Arabidopsis thaliana: one gene and its partner. The protein of the gene in region 2 purifies or fractionates together with the protein of the main gene of each other region. This does not show direct contact. Each region holds a gene or a part of one and is shown on either strand. Other genes may lie near its edges.

Region 1 (3,752 bases), on a different chromosome or scaffold from region 2:
GTTTAAAACTTCAAATTATGATTCAAATTGTCATATCAGTGAGTGAAATCATAAGGTAACACAACAACACAGAATCAGTAGAAATCGGGTTCGACGTGTGTTATTACCTCATCAAGAGGATTCTCAAACTGAAGATTCACACTCTCTGCATGAGCACGCATAACTGGAACACGTATACACGTTGCTGTTACTTTTACTTCTGTGTCATTCTGTGAAGGGCAAGAAATTGGTGTGAGATATCTAAAATTTTTGAACAAAAGATCAAAGTGAAATGAACACAAAATAGCACTTAAGTAACCACTCACCCAGATCTTCCTTGTCTCCTTCACAAGTTTCATTTCCTCTTCGTTGTAACCGTTGTCAAGAATAGGAGCATTATGTGAAAACAAGTTAAATGCATACTGCAGAACAACATACAAAACCATCACATTACTCAAAAAGGGATTTCATAATCAGCACATTCGAAATACAAACTATAAGCAAATTAAGCACTCACCTGCTGCCCGAAGATGTTACAAGTCGGAGGTTTACCCTCTAAAACCTAAGAAAACACACCAATGCAAAGAAGACGAAGAAGCAGAATCACAACTCAGCACAATCATTAAACAATTCAATCAAAGAAGGCTGAAATAGAAACAAAACCTCACGAGTCTGCTGAACAAGCTCTTCCATAGCTGCAGCACCAGCACCACTAGCTGCTTGATATGTACTAACCACCATTCTCTTCACCTATTATAGCCAATCAAACATTATTCAGAGCACTAAAGTCTAAAGCTTCCATTGATTCTCTAACTACCCTTCAAAATTTTGGACTAAGCAGATTTCAGAATAAAAATCGAACCTTTGCGTGATGATGAAGAGGCGTAACAGCCATCAAACAGATAATGGTGGAGCAATTAGGGTTTGCAATCAAAGCCCCTTTGCCCATTCCAACTTTGATCCCTTTCATTGCTTCTGGATTCACTTCAGGAATCACAAGCGGAACTCCATCAACCATTCTAAAAGCCGAGCTATTATCAACAACAATGGTTCCTTTCTCCGCCGCCAGAGGACCAAACTCTTTGCTTATGGATCCACCAGCACTGAACAAAGCTATGTCTACACCGTTGAAGCTATCCGCCGTGAGCTCCTCCACCGTGTATTCATGGCCATCGAAGGCAACACGCTTCCCTGCGGAGCGTTTCGATGCAAGCATCTTGATGGAGCTATAAGGGAAGTCTCGATCGGATAAGACGGAGAGGAATTCTTGTCCGACGGCTCCGGTAACGCCAACGACGGCGAGTGAAGGCGCAGATTCTTGGAGAGACATTTTGACTCTTGCGGAGAAGTGTCTAGGTTTAGCTCTGAGAGGAAGGCGAGAGAGGAAATGGGTTTGTGGGGTTTGATGAGTGAACGTCGCCATTGTCGCCGCCGTGAGGAAGAAGAAGTGAGAGACAGAGAGATAGAGAGATTTTGGAGGCGGCTGATAGAAAAAAGCTTGGGACTTTAAAGTGTGTTAGTGAATTGACCAACATCTTCAAAATTCAAAACAGCAAGATTGTTTAATTTAAGATACAGAAACAGCATGATGTTTGAAACTGCTCATTCACCAGATTGAGTATATTCACACAACTTTCTCATGTGTTTCATCATTTCTTCTTTTGGAAATATTAAGTTGTTGAAAAGTCTTTTGTCATATAACAAGGCTTAGGGATCATATTTAAGAGCTCGTGATTCTGGTTTTTAGCTCAAAGACATCTATAGCTAACTTTGGAATCTTACACGTACAACAAGAGGACATTAAGTTTCTAGAAGTTAGTCTGGTCTGTTGATCAATCCTGCTTTACAGCTTACTTATGATGTGAATAAGAAAAGATAAGCAAGAGCGAGCACTCAGTCACCAGATTGAATATATTCGCATTACTTTCTCATGTTTTCATTGCTTCTTTTGGAAATTTAGAGATGTACCACTAGTTATGTTCTGACCATTACAAATATTCAGGTTAATGCTTCCAAAAATAAAGAGCTAAACATTATTGTTTGTTAGAGTTACTGGAGCAGCCTGAGGAAGAAGAACATCTTGGATTGCTGTGAGCTTAGCTCGGCCACCGTACTCTTCCGGTAAAGCATCTGCTCCGATCTCCTCCTCGAATTTTCTCTGTTCTTCTCCATCCGTAACTATCACAATCTATGCAACAGCAAAATCATAATTTATGTGATTCGTTGCTCAAGAACCATTAGAGATAGATACATCAAGAGGAGATTAAAGATCAAACCTTTTCCTGAGTTGCTTTCTCTAGAAAACGGCAGACGAATTTCCAAACGGTCACGAAGAATCCGGGCATATGCAAAATGTAGCATTTTGCAAGGCGTTCCGGGTAGTAAGACTAGAGAAACATTTTCCAAATTTAATAGACAGGACTTCTTTTTGTGTGATAACTATATTGTTTCAGGAAGAAGGGAGATGCTTACTTGTAAGAATTGAAAGCCAGTGATCAATCCACGAGCATCAAGGTTCTTGTATGTAATGTTTGCCAGATCAATAACGGCTACTAATTTCTCACCTCCAACTTCTTTGCCATTGTTGCCACTGAAACATAAAAACCAAAAAGCTTGTCTCACAACCAACTAACCGGAAGATTATTGAAGTGTTTTGGTTTCAATAATGTGTAAACACCTTGCGATTGTTTTGTCTAGCGCATAAACAACAAACTCTGCAACATCAAACAGATAAAAGATTAGTTCATAGATAATTATCGCAAGAATCAACTCAAGGAAAACACATAGATGGACTCAAAAAACTTCATTCATTTGAAGTCAAATGAAACTACTCAATAATTAGAGAACCAGGAAAGAAGCTGATCAGTTCTATGAATACAAAAGTCACTGAAAGTCAAGGGACAGATTATTTCCAACGAAAGTAAAGGTCAGAAGCAAGTGAGAGGTGATTACTCTTGAAGTTAGCTGGATCCTTAGAAGCAAAATGCTTAGAGGTTATGACAAGCACCAATGGGTGTCCGGATTTGGTCGGACCCTGAAGACAGACCTTTCTGAATTCCAATTCATCCTGCACTTCTGACTCAGGGATGAATCCAGTTGGAGGAACCATGGAGGCTCTCCATTTTTGCCAATCTACAAACATCTTTGCTGCCTTGACTGGGTCCATTGATCTTGCCACCAGGAACCTCATCAATGTTGGTTTGTCATATCCCTTTTCAGAGGAAACAACAACAACAAAAACCATTGATGAGATTTTCTGATTATGGATTCACTTTTACTAAACTGTCTCTACTGTTAGGGTTTCTGATGGGAGGCTCAAACCTAATCAGACAAACCACTATGACGAGAATGGAGACAGAGTTTTAACAGTGTAGCCCATATAAAACCCATCAAAATCAAATGACAGATATTTCTCATTTTCTAACGAGACATTGTCAGTGAAACTCATGAAACGGCCAAAAGATGCAAGCTTTGTAAACTGTAATGAAACTAAAGCGTCGAATTAGATTACCTCAGTAGAAGAAGAGAGTTTCTCGACCGATTTTCTCAACTGGGTCAAGGCAAGTTCTTGGCTTTCCTCCATGATCTTTGGCTCTCTCAGATCCTAAAAAAATCTCACAGAGAAATAAAGAGAGAGCCTTTTGTGGTCCGTACAGACGCACGATAAAGTAAGTTGAAAAAGTAAAGAGCTTTGATGTTGACAAAGACCCAGAAGCCACAGGAAGAAGAAACAGACAAAGTATTGGGTACTTGTCTCTACGGTAAGTGGATAG
Region 2 (3,752 bases):
TAACCACAATTAATTAACTAAAGCCACTCTTTTGGATTGATACAAGCATCTAATAGTTTCCATTCCTCAGTTCCTTCTTCAGGTTTCTGCATCCGCAACAAGAGACAAACACCATCAGTAGTTAAGTTTCATTAGCTAAGATGAAACAAGATTTAGTTTCTTGAATCAAGAAACTTTACATGGTCATATTCTCATCTCGCAGATAGCGGAAGAGAGACAAGGATACTCTCTATTCGTCCTCCAGTCTTCAGACCAAATGTTGTTCCGCGGTCATACACCTTTATTTTTACCATCAGCAACAAAACATGAGACGAGGTTTCAAGAGATATTTATACAGAAAGAAAAACAAAGCTAGTAGTATCCAATTACGAAGTTGAATTCAACATATCTGCCCCTTCGCAGCTGTTGCCATGCCTTGTGTTGCTCGTTAAATGGTGTGTCTTTACGTTTCTCTACTATGGGTATAGAAGCTGGTATCACTGAGCTTGCACATTCTGCAAAATTCATCTCAGTATTCAAATAAGTCAACTAGGAAGTTTCTTAAAACAAAATGTCACAAGTTATATCTTGGTCACTACCAGTGGCGAATGACAGAAGCATCTCTTGATCATAGTCATTCAAATCATCAAAAAATATCCCTCCAAGCCCTCGCCTCTCATCACGGTGCTGCAGGCAAGACCGTAAAGTTTTTAGTGTTTTCAAATCCTAGGCGACAACTTATCACTGTATCAACCTAAACAAAACCTTGAGGCTCTAAATCTATTCTTGCACATACATGACTCTAAAACTAAGGTCTTTTAGTTCCACAAAGTGCTAAGATCTCACCAAACAATCAGAATAGCGTTAAAGGAACTGCAGACCTTAATGTAAAAGTAGTCATCACACCATTTCTTAAACCAAGGGTAGAACGACGGATCAAATTTATCGCAGGCTTGCTTTTAAACCTACACAAAGAAAGATATTTCAATCAGCATCTCCATAATCACAAAGCTTCAAACTTTCAGAACAATGGATCAGGTTTAACGACCGAATGAAAGTGCTTGACGTCTTCTTCAAAGATGTAAGCAGGTGTGAAGTCAGTCCCACCACCGAACCACCATTGCCTCGGAGCTCCAGGAACATCTACAAGTGATGAAATCAAATGCTTCATCCAACCAAAAAATTGGAACTTTACACTTCTCAAAGAGGATTAAGGTCTTACCCTTTGGAGCATCGGTCTCGAAATAGCGGTAATTGAAATGCAGAGTCGGAGCAAAAGGGTTCTGAGGATGCAAAACCTAGAATGTAGGATCAAGCTCAATCAAAGAACTCAGAGACCATATCAACAGCAATGTCGACTGATAGAGAGAGAGAGAGAGAACTCACCGAGCTGGTTCCAGCGGCAAAGAACGGAATCGGACCAGGTTTTTGCTCAGACGTGGCAGCTTTAGCAGCTCTATAAGCTTCAGGAGGCATAACACCATAAATCACAGAGACATTAACTCCAGCTTTCTCCCATACATTTCCGTCTTGCAAAATACGACTGATTCCACCACCTCCACCGGGTCGAGACCAAACATCTTCCTTGAATTTAGGACCTTCTTCGACTGCTTCAATGGCTTCACAGACTTTATCTTGAGCAGTTCTTATCATTTTCTCGAAACGAGCCCTAACCGAATAAGAAGAAGATTGAGTTTGATCGCCGTCGGAGACTCTGAGGAAAGTGAAAGGTCTTTCTGTTTCCGGAACTTCTTTCTCGATTGAGACTGAGCATCGCAAGTCGAAATGTGGTCTCTTTACGGAACGAGGAAAGTGGTAAGTGAAGTAATTCGGAGAAGATTTGAGACGATGAGAAGAGAAGAGAATGAAGGAAGAAGGAGAAGTGAAGAGAGTCGAAGAGTGAGACGCCATTTTCAGCGATCGATCGAATCCAAGTTTTCACCTTTTTGCTGAAGATAGAAGATGATAAGGAATCGTCAAAGCTCTGTTTTTTTAACCAAACCAAACCCGGTTATTTCCGGTTTAGTTCAACCAAAAAACCTCATACTCGGTTTAGTTCTCTTCTTTATTTATCTACTCTGTAAGACTGTAACAGAGAGAACAACGTTGATCTGTTCCTTACAGTACAAGCAACTATTAAACATGGAATGATCTTTGTTTACTTGGAAAGCAAGCGAGTGAGAGAAGAAGAGTCAAAGACAGGAGGACTGCAAGTGAAGTGTTGACAAACAAGAGCCACCACTTTCTCTGAGTTTCTGTTCTTCTTAGCCATCTCAGCTACATTACTGTTATGCTCTTCCCAAAACTCGATTTCATCAGAACTAGAGGGATCTATGTGAATCACCTGCTCAGTAAAACCACCAAAAGTCACAAATCTTGAATCTAGAAATTTGGATAATTTTTTAAGCTCTTACCGTTTTATTAGGATCATAGACTGAATGTGCTGCAGAAAGCATGTTGGTAAGCTCTGGGGAAGACTTAGAACCAACCAATACAACTTGTTTCCTCGACGGAACAGAGATCATATCTGCGGAGCAGCACATTAATGGCACAGCCACCGCCAGTTCTCTTAACCTCAACTCAAAGACTGCCTGCAAAAACAACAACAAAGAGACTCAATAATCTCTTTCTATGAATAGCAAATGGGATTAGTTGTTTGTTTGTTTACCAGGAGACGATGTGCCGTGTTGAGGTAGGATTCAGCTTTTTCTCCGGCGACTATGGAAGCTAACCTCACAAGATTGATAGCAGAAACAGAGTTCCCTGAAGGTTCTGCACCATCATGATCTTCTTTTACACGAAGAAGAACCGATGGGTCTTGTCCTTCAGTATTGAAGTATGCTCCTCCTTCTCGGTCCAGATATAACTCATCCTAAAATGTTTTTAACTTTTTTAGCCAAAATCAAGAACTTTAACAAATCGAGCTAGTAAAGATCTCACTTGCCTGTGTTTCTTGAAGTTTAATCGCCCACTTAAGCCATTCGATCCCACCTCCATTCTCGTAAAGATCGAGTAAACCAGAGATCAAGAAAGCATAATCGTCTAAGAAGGCAGGAGCTTTGGATGGCCCCTGTCTGTAACTGTGTTGTAATCTGCGAGACTGCTCATCATAGAGATTTCCTCTGATAAACAAAGCTGCTTTCTCTGCAACCTCTATGTAATCCTCTGGCTGAAAAATGAGTCTTCTAATTACAAAACGGTCAAAGAAGAAATTAAAGGAAAGGGTGTAGCATTCATTACCTGACTATTCACCACAGGGAAATAATATTTGGTGCTTTCAGGCTCAGCCTTAAGAATCTTGGAAGCTCTTGCGAAAGACGAGATAACAAGACCGTTCCAAGACACGATTATCTATGAAAGAAATCTTAAATGGTTAACAAATCTGAAGAAACAGTAGAGAAGACAACATGAGAATTCCAAGAAGAGTATTACCTTATCATCTAGATGCGGCTTAGGTCGCTTCAATCTGACATCGAAAAGCTTTCTTCGGCATTCACCTAATATCTCCTGATACTTCTCAACAGAGAGGCTAAACTTTGATGCCATAGCAGACGTCTCATTTCTTTCGATCAGCACGTTCTTCCCAGCAAATTCATTGTGCGGGTCACTCCTGCTCGAAAGATCGCAGTTACCTGATTTCTTAACATAATAATGCTCCTTGAAAAGATCAGCATTCTCCCCGAGGACTTCATCAATCTTGAAACCAAACACACACGCAAAACAAATGTCAGTATGCAGAGGGAAACCAGAGTCAGCTCATGAATATATCATAT

What was found.
Region 1: the proteins of hemf2 (region 2) and AT1G14810 fractionate together in Arabidopsis thaliana (co-fractionation; one large-scale study listed by BioGRID). This does not show direct contact.

The regions. Positions count from the first base shown.
Region 1 is NC_003070.9:5,103,232-5,106,983, forward strand, and holds the start of AT1G14810 (semialdehyde dehydrogenase family protein), read right to left. Parts: upstream 1,620-3,752; 5' UTR 1,403-1,619; coding exon 842-1,402; intron 730-841; coding exon 643-729; intron 542-642; coding exon 497-541; intron 402-496; coding exon 306-401; intron 210-305; coding exon 108-209; intron 73-107; exon of another isoform or gene 1-72. Other genes in the region: AT1G14820 (Sec14p-like phosphatidylinositol transfer family protein), read right to left, coding at 2,006-2,167, 2,256-2,366, 2,452-2,569, 2,657-2,693, 2,932-3,190, 3,491-3,562.
Region 2 is NC_003075.7:1,410,952-1,414,703, reverse strand, and holds the start of hemf2 (Coproporphyrinogen III oxidase), read right to left. Parts: upstream 1,920-3,752; 5' UTR 1,891-1,919; coding exon 1,366-1,890; intron 1,278-1,365; coding exon 1,202-1,277; intron 1,123-1,201; coding exon 1,001-1,122; 3' UTR 945-1,000; coding exon of another isoform or gene 939-944; 3' UTR 180-938; intron 87-179; 3' UTR 1-86. Other genes in the region: AT4G03200 (catalytics), read right to left, coding at 2,138-2,323, 2,394-2,570, 2,648-2,851, 2,924-3,148, 3,220-3,330, 3,412-3,675. UniProt on the Arabidopsis thaliana protein: Key enzyme in heme biosynthesis. Catalyzes the oxidative decarboxylation of propionic acid side chains of rings A and B of coproporphyrinogen III.